Linked DNA regions of Cricetulus griseus. The protein of the gene in region 2 purifies or fractionates together with the protein of the main gene of each other region. This does not show direct contact. Links are inferred from orthologs where the notes say so. Each region holds a gene or a part of one and is shown on either strand. Other genes may lie near its edges. The genes, in order: Csnk2b and Kat6a.

Evidence for each region.
Region 1: the proteins of Kat6a (region 2) and Csnk2b purify together in Homo sapiens (affinity purification with mass spectrometry; 3 studies listed by BioGRID and IntAct, with this or other methods). This does not show direct contact. The link is inferred for Cricetulus griseus from reciprocal best matches to the Homo sapiens genes KAT6A and CSNK2B.

What each region holds. Positions count from the first base shown.
Region 1 is NW_023276806.1:231,642,784-231,647,022, forward strand, and holds the start of Csnk2b (casein kinase II subunit beta), read right to left. Parts: upstream 2,992-4,239; 5' UTR 2,843-2,991; intron 2,290-2,842; 5' UTR 2,279-2,289; coding exon 2,207-2,278; intron 1,692-2,206; coding exon 1,589-1,691; intron 816-1,588; coding exon 700-815; intron 322-699; coding exon 246-321; intron 120-245; coding exon 1-119. UniProt on the Homo sapiens protein: Regulatory subunit of casein kinase II/CK2.
Region 2 is NW_023276807.1:60,781,097-60,784,905, reverse strand, and holds part of Kat6a (histone acetyltransferase KAT6A), read left to right. Parts: intron 1-3,152; coding exon 3,153-3,809. UniProt on the Homo sapiens protein: Histone acetyltransferase that acetylates lysine residues in histone H3 and histone H4 (in vitro). Component of the MOZ/MORF complex which has a histone H3 acetyltransferase activity. May act as a transcriptional coactivator for RUNX1 and RUNX2.

The DNA.
Region 1 (4,239 bases), on a different chromosome or scaffold from region 2:
ACCAGTGCCGAAGTAGGCGCCGTCCGTGTGGTGGTGCCTTGATGATTTGGGTGTGTACACGTCCATGCACTTGGGGCAGTAGAGCTTCACCATGGCCTCGCCTGGGATGTCCGAAAGGCCTGGGACACAGCCAGACCCTGAAGACCAGGTACCCCAAGTCCTCCCACCCTCCCACAGGGCTCAGGCACTGACCACATCAACCTGACTGGCAAGTAGTGCCCTCCTCTCCCCTCTCCAACACTCACCGATGGGAAGCATTGGCTGGTTCTCACAGTACACACGAGGACAGTAGCCAAAGTCTCCCTGCTGGTACTTTTCCAACTGAGGTGTGCAAAATGGAAGGGACTGGTGAGTACGTGTGCAGAGCACCTCACTTCCCCACCTCCCAGGCCTCCCACCTCTAACTAGAAGCCCTTCTTTGTCAAGACAGGTCCTCAAGCTTCCTTCTCAACTGCTTTCCTCAAGTTGGCAGGCTGCAGAACACAAGGGCCATTTGCTCTCTCTGTTCCCTATCCATGGCCTCATCTCCCTCCCTGAAAACAATACCTTCAGTAGGACCCTCAGTGAGGATTGGATTCTCAGCCCAGCTCTGGGCTTCTCCTCGTCTCCTCTGCTAGACTTCTTGACAGGTACGAAACATGCCTTCTGCCTCATGCACCTGTTTGTCTCACTGCCTCAGAAGCAGGAGCAGAGCCTCACCATTTGGGCGATGCCTCGGTTGGTGAGGATGTATCGGGCGTGGATCAACCCATAAAGCATCTCCGCTGCCTGTTCAATCAGGTCACTCTGGTTGGGGTTGTCTTCCAGCTCTTCATCTGAAAGGTGGGATGGCCACTTGTACCCCACCTTATCCCCAAGGTGGCCTCCTACAGTTTATCCAGCACCTGTTTCTGACACACCCTATCCATCACCCAGGCCATCAGCACTGCCCTCTCTCCACACCTCTCTAGTCTCTGCCAGCTTCTTCCCCTTCCCAACACATAAACATAATTGCAGAGGGTGGCACTCTAGACCAGCAGGAGGAAAGCAGCAGCACACAACACACCAGAAGACTGGCATTGTGAGAGACAGTGGAGTTACATTTGGAGAGCATGGAAACAAATGTTACCAGTCCCTGAAGGCAAGGGTCAGGTAGGGAATCAAAATAATGAAGAAGCCAGGCAGTGGTGTATGTGCCATACAAAACCCAGCACGTGGAGGCCAAGGCAGGAAGAGCAAGTGGTAAAGTCCAGTTTGGGTTATGAATGGAGAGGAGAGGTGGGGGAGAAAACACATAAACAAACAAACAAGCGAGCAAGAGACTCGGGAATAGACAGAAGAGCTAGAGAATCAAAAGGAAATTTAGAAATTCAAGAAGCGGTTGGGCAGTGGTGGCACATGCATTTAACACCAGCACTCGGGAGGTAGAGGCAGGTGAATCTCTGTGAGTTCAAGGCCAGAGAAACCCTTCTGGAAAAACCGAAAAAGAAAAGAGAAAAATTCAAGAAGCAAGCGAGCAGAGACCAGAATAAGAAGAAACCAAAGCACACACAAGTGCACATATCATGGACCCCACACGCAGCGACGGCCCTGGGGGCAGGCACGTTACCAGGCTCCAGGTCCAAGATCATGTCTAGAGCTTGCCGGTAGTGAGGCACTTGCTCATTGAGTCCAGTCAGATTAAACTTGTCCTGGATGTAGTCCTCATCCACCTACCGGGACAGGGGAGTCAAGAGGTTGAAACTAGTGTGGGAAGCCCCGTCTTTCACCTGGCCCAGGAGACAAACGACCGCATCGGCTCCCCTTGTTTCCTATTCTCACTTCTGCAGAGGTGTTCCGTCTCCCACAGAAACCGCAGCTCTCTTCTTTCCGGGCCAACAAGGTACAGCGCATTATTCAACTTGTCTCCCTCCTCTAAAGGACCCGGGTTTGCTCTCTGCTCTGGGACATCAGACTCTCACAGGCATTGATCATTTCCTACGTTACCACACTGTGGTTTTCATGTTACATGAAACATTTTAACTTTCCTGACGGTCACCAGCGATACCTCTGTTAGCCATGCACAGAGTGAACCCCAGCGCTCAGGAGACTGAGGCACTAGGATTGCCAGGAGTTCAAGGACAGTCTGGGCTACACAGTCAGCTTCGGGGGAAATCTCATCTCAGACAACATACAACGAAAACACCGAGGGCACGTGGAGAGGGCCCAGAAAGCCAGCTAAACTCACCTCACAGAAGAACTCATTACCACGGAGCCCACAGAACCAGGAAATCCAGGAAACCTCCTCAGAGCTACTCATCTTTACGTCGGCTGAGGAAGAAGGGCGTTAAGTGGAGACCAGGCTGTTTCTTGGTCTCTTCCCTCCTCCCACACACACGGTCTCCTCAACGGCGGAGGAATCCGAGGCCACTGGCGTTGAGTGGCCCCGGCCCGTGAAGCACCGCTCTCCACGCCTCTCTTCTTTACCTCAGCCCCCCGACAGCGTGGTGAGAACCAGCTCCACTCCTTCCCAGGGGGTGACAGGTCCCGATCTGTGGGTGTTGCCCGGCGCGAGGCCAGGCCCCGGCCCCCCGGCCCCCCGGCCCCCGGCCGCGCGCGGCCCGCGCGGCCCCACCGAGGCACTCGCCTGGCGCCCGTCCCGAGGCTTCCCGAGTCCATCCTCCCCCCCGAGCCCGCCTCTCGGGGCCTCGCGGCGCCGGCGGGAGCCCCGCACCCCCGCGGGACCCACGAGCGTCCCCACAGCCGCTCCTCTCCTCAGGCCACCCGGCCTCCTTCGGCCGCCGACCCGGTCCCTTCCTTCCTCGCCCCCACATCTCGGAGCGCGGAGCCCGGCGCCGCGGCGCGGGGACGAGCGCAGACTCACCGGCCGGACGGGGACTGGGACTGGGGCGGGGAAGGGGAGCCGAGCTTCGAAGGAACCGCAGCGACCGCTACAGCGCAGGAAGCCGAGCGGACCGCGGCAGGCGAAGTGGGGAGGGGGGAAGGGGAACTGGGGAGGGTGGGGAGGGAGAGAGGGCAACGCGCAGGCGCCGAGGACCGCCCCTGCCCCTAGGGACGCCGGGAAATGGAGTCCCGTAGAGAGGCAGAAAGTGACGCGATGCGGGGACGGCGAACCACCAATCCCAAGAGTCCGCGCGCATGACTCCGGGGTCGCGAGGCCCTAGCGGAAGCCGCCTGGGGGCGGGGCGAGCCGAGCCTCCACCGGAAGCGGAAGCCAGGTTACAGCCGCCTTCCCGACCGGGAAGCCTGGGAAATATAGTCCTACGCGCTTTGGGCTCGGCAGGCTGCGAGCCGGCGCCGGCGGCCGCTGAGGTCCCCGCTGCGCGCCCGCTCCGTCCCGCTCCGGTCGTCCCTGCCGCCCCGGGGACTGACACCGTCGCCGAGGACCAGGCATGCGGCCCGGAGGTGCGGCTCGGAGTGCGGGGCTGAGGTCGCAGGGCTTGGGCTGCCGAGCCGGGCGGCGGGGGCGGGGGACCTGCTGCACCGCCCCGCGCGCTAACCTGAGGTGGCGCCTGCCATTCTGCCGCTCATCCCTTTGCACTTCTCCATGTGTTGCTGCTGCTTGCTGCTGCTGCTGCTGTTGCTGCTGCTGCTGCTGCTGCGGACCCCACGTGAGCTGCTTGCTCTTCGAGCCCTGCTCGGAGTAGCGGTGAGGGGCGCCGTGGTGTTAGCGCGTCTCGCGGCTGCCCGGCATCCCGCGGCTCCCTGGCGTCCTCAGGCCTCCCGGCTCCACAAGAGGGGCTTGGAGCGGGAGGGACCACGTCGAGGGTGGCGAAGAGCATTGTGGGGGCGTTATGTAAAAGTAGGACCCCAACCGACAGGTCCCCCTGGGCCCTCGCGCTGTCTGGGCACGCGATGCCTGACGCGGATGCTTGGGAAGGTTCCAGCGCGGGAAACTGAACCTTGTGGGTGTTTTGTTGTGGTTGGCTGCTGCGCATGCGTCTCTGTGCCAGGTGGGTGTCGGATTGTGTCAACTCTTGCAGATGACGAGAGCGCCATTTTTCGGTACGGAAGTGACAGTGCAACGCTTTTACCCCGACACCTTCTGGAATGATGTCACGCCTGTTTTTCTTTGGGAAAAGGAGACACCCCCCCCCAGCCCCACGTAAGATCGAGCAAGATTTAAAAGTCCCGGCCGATATTCCCTAACGGTATGTGTTACAGGGTGGGAAAAGGTTTTCAGAGACAGCCTGCTGTTTTTGTTTGAAGGGAGAAGGGAGTAGAACGCAGGGCCCCTAGACAAGTGCCTGGGGGAACATT
Region 2 (3,809 bases):
TCCTCTATTGAGAATTCTTTATTTAGTTCTATACCCCACTTTTTAATTGGATTGTTTGGTGTTTTAATGGCTAACTTCTTGAGTTCGTTTTGTATTTTGGAAACCAGTCCTCTATTAGATGTGGGGTTGGTGAAGATTTTTTCCCATTCTGTGGGCTGCCATTTTGTCATGTTGACTATATCCTTTGCCTTACAGAAGCTTCTCAGTTTTGGGAGGTCCAATTTATTAATTGTCAATCTCAATGTCTGTGCTACTGGTGTTATGTTTAGGAAGCCGTCTCCTGTACCAATTAATTCAAGGGTACCTCCCACTTTTCTCTTCTAAGACGTTCATTGTTGAGGTCTTTGATCCATTTGGACTCAAGTTTTGTGCATGATGATAGATATAGATCTATCTGCTATCTTCTACATGTCAGCATCCAGTTATGCCAGCACCATGTTTTGAAGATGCTTTCTTTTGCCCAATGTATAACTTGAGCTTCTTTGTCAAAAATCAGGTGTTCATTAATATCAGAATTTTCAATTCAATTCCATTGGTCTACCTGTCTATTTTTGTGCCATTACCAAGCTGTTTTCAAGACTATAGCTCTATAGTAGAGCTTTAAGTCAGGGATGGTTATGCCTCCTGAAGTTCCTTTATTGTACAGGGTTGTTTGGCTATCCTGGGCCTTTTGTTTTTCCATATAAAGTTGAGTATTGTCCTTTCAATGTCTGTGAAGAACTGTGTTGGGATTTTGATGGGGATTGCATTGAATCTGTAGATTGCTTTTGGCAAGATTGCTATTTTTACTGTGTTGATCCTACCTATCCAAGAGCATGGGAGATCTTTCCATTTTCTGGCATCTTCTTTAATTTCTTTCTTTAAAGACTCAGAGTTCTTGCTTTGTAGGTCTTTCACTTGTATGGTTAGTGTTACCCCAAGATATTTTATGTTGTTTGTGGCTATTGTAAAGTGTGATATTTCTCTGATTTCTTCCTCAACCCATTTATGGTCTATATATAGTGGGGCTACTGATTTTTTTGAGTTAATCTTATATCCTGCCACTTTGCTGAAGGTGTTTATCAGCTGTAGGAGTTCCCTGGTTGTCCAGGATCTTATCTGACTCTTGAGTTAAAGGGTGATGGAGTAACTCATTACCGGGCTGGGTGGTCTCTGGTGTTAGTCGGCCTTGCCAGTTGCTGAATGCTGAGTGCTAACTAAGTGAGGTGCTTGATCACCTCCACTAAAAGAAGGAATGCTAAGGAGGCTCTGAACATCAGTGGGAACTTGTTCAGGAACCTTCCTGAATCAAGCCTCTAATGGATCTTAGTCAGTAGTCTATTCTTTTTGTTGTTTTGTTATTTAAGTCACTTGCTGTACATAGGTCAGGCCTGCCTCAGCCTGTTCACTTCTGGGATTACAGGTGCACAACCCAGCAACTAGCTATGCATCACTCATAAGTGGCAACAATAACAGAATGGGCTGAGTTATATGATGTAGCTAGACTTCTAGTCATTTACTTTTAAAATAGACTTATTTTTACTTCACATTCAGACAGGCAGCAGCTGAGGCTCATGTGATATGAGGTAGGAAGAAACTAGACTTTTGCATTCTAGCCTAGATTTTGTGAAGCATTGTGTTGTCTACACCTTCATTGTGTTTGCTGTGAATGGTCTCAATCTGAGGTTTTTTATTTTCACAGGTGAATTTGAAGAAATCAACATTGCTATGTACTCTTTTACTTTATCTTTTGCCTTATTTAGTGGAACTTTTTATTTTCTTAAAATTTGGACTTGATATGTAGTAGATAGAACTTGGATTTTTCAGACAGGAGTTGTAGCTTGGTGGTGATTGGCCCTGAACTCAGTCCCTAGAACCAAAAACAAAGCAACCAAAAAGTCCTTGTGGCATGTGTTGTGTATGTATGTATTTGTATTTGTGTGTCTATGTCTGTGTGTATAAATGTGTGCATGTATGTATATGTGTATGTATGCATGTGTATGTGTACATGTGTGTATGTATACTTGTGTTAGTATATGTATATATGTGTTTACATTTGTGCATGTATGTATGTTGAGTGCGCATGAGGCAGGGGAAGACAAAAGAAGAATTATGAGTATGTGTGACACAGTCTAAATATGAAGTCCATGCTGGCCTCAAATTTGTGACCCATTTGCCTTAGCCTCCTAAATGTTAAAACTCACACCGTACCAAGCACACATTGTCTAATTTTAAGGCTTATTATATGATGTGTGCTTTTAATGTGGTGATAATTAGTCTTTGCTTTTTTCTAAATTATGATCCAGAGTTTTACTCTTGTCATATATTGATGTATATAGGAAACTTACTCTGCTGCGCGCGTGTGTGCGTGCGTGCGTGCGTGCGTGTGTGTATGTGAACTGACACTTGGTGCTCTGTCTTGGATCACTGTGTGTTACAATAGTGTCCCAGATGTAAGCCACTGTGACCTTGACAGTTTTCTCTCATACAACTATTGCCTTTGTTGACTTCCCAGTTATATCACAAACACACCTTTGACTCTCTCTCTCCATGCTCATAGCCTGTAAAAATTAATAGTAATTGAGAATGTATTTAATGCCACTGAACTCTACTTTAAAATGATTAAAATTTTATCTTACATATATTTTGCCCCAATTTAGAAAAAGTAATGCCAATGCTGAATTTATTCCCTCTACATATTATTAGCACTTTGACTTTTCTTATTTGTTTAGTACTGCATGTCAGTGTTTAAAACTAAATGCCTTGCACTTGTTCCCATATAAAACACATTGAGTAACAATTGTTTACAGGAATGGCTCAATTTTGGTCTACAGGAAATGGCTTATGATACTACTTCAAGGAATGATTTTGTGGAAACTTAAAAAAAAAAAGACAAAGAGGTAACAGAAAAGCAAACAAAAGAGGCTGATTTTTAACTTGAGTTCACTCTCCTGCTGCTCGTTACATACATACTCATAGAGTTTGACCTCCGACTGCTTTAACTAGTAGGTGGTAGAGTCATGTCACCCAGGATTGTTTGTTTTGCCAGTTCATTGTATAACTTTATGTGTTATTAATCTGCCTTATTTCTTTGATTCTTCTGTTATACATGTTGGTCTCAGAGAAATACTAGTCTTGTAACCTGTCTTTACTCTCTTATTTTTTCTATGCAGACACTCCTATTCTAAAACCAGTATCTCTCTTGCGAAAATGTGATGTGAACAGTGCTTCACTTGAGCCAGATACCTCTACACCTATGAAAAAGAAAAAGGGATGGCCCAAAGGCAAGAGCCGAAAACCTATCCACTGGAAGAAAAGACCTGGACGAAAACCAGGATTTAAATTGAATCAGGAAATCATAGCTGTTTCTACGAAAGAATGCATAATTGAGCCCATAGTTCCCATTAAACCTGGGCGTAAACCCAGAACTCAAGAAAATGAAGAAATGGTTGAGGTAAAAGAGGACTTGCCCTTGTTGGAAGAAAGGAAAGAGGAGATGCATACAGAAGCAGATGAGGAGGAAGAGGACACGACTAGCAGTGACATTAGAGCCATGTCCCCATTGGACAGCAGCAACAGCCCTGAGGCAGAACCCAAAGAACCCGAGGCAGATGAGGAAGATGAGAAACCCTTGGAAGAGCAAAGGCAATCTGAGGAAGAGCCTCAAGAGCTTGAAGAGCAGGAGCAAGAGGAAGACGATGAAGTGACTGCAGAGGCCAACCAGAACGAAGACCATGATGCAGATGATGAGGATGATGGCCATCTGGAGTCTCTGAAAACAAAAGAGCCAGAGGAGCAGCCAGCCAGAGAAGACCACAAGGAGGAGCCTG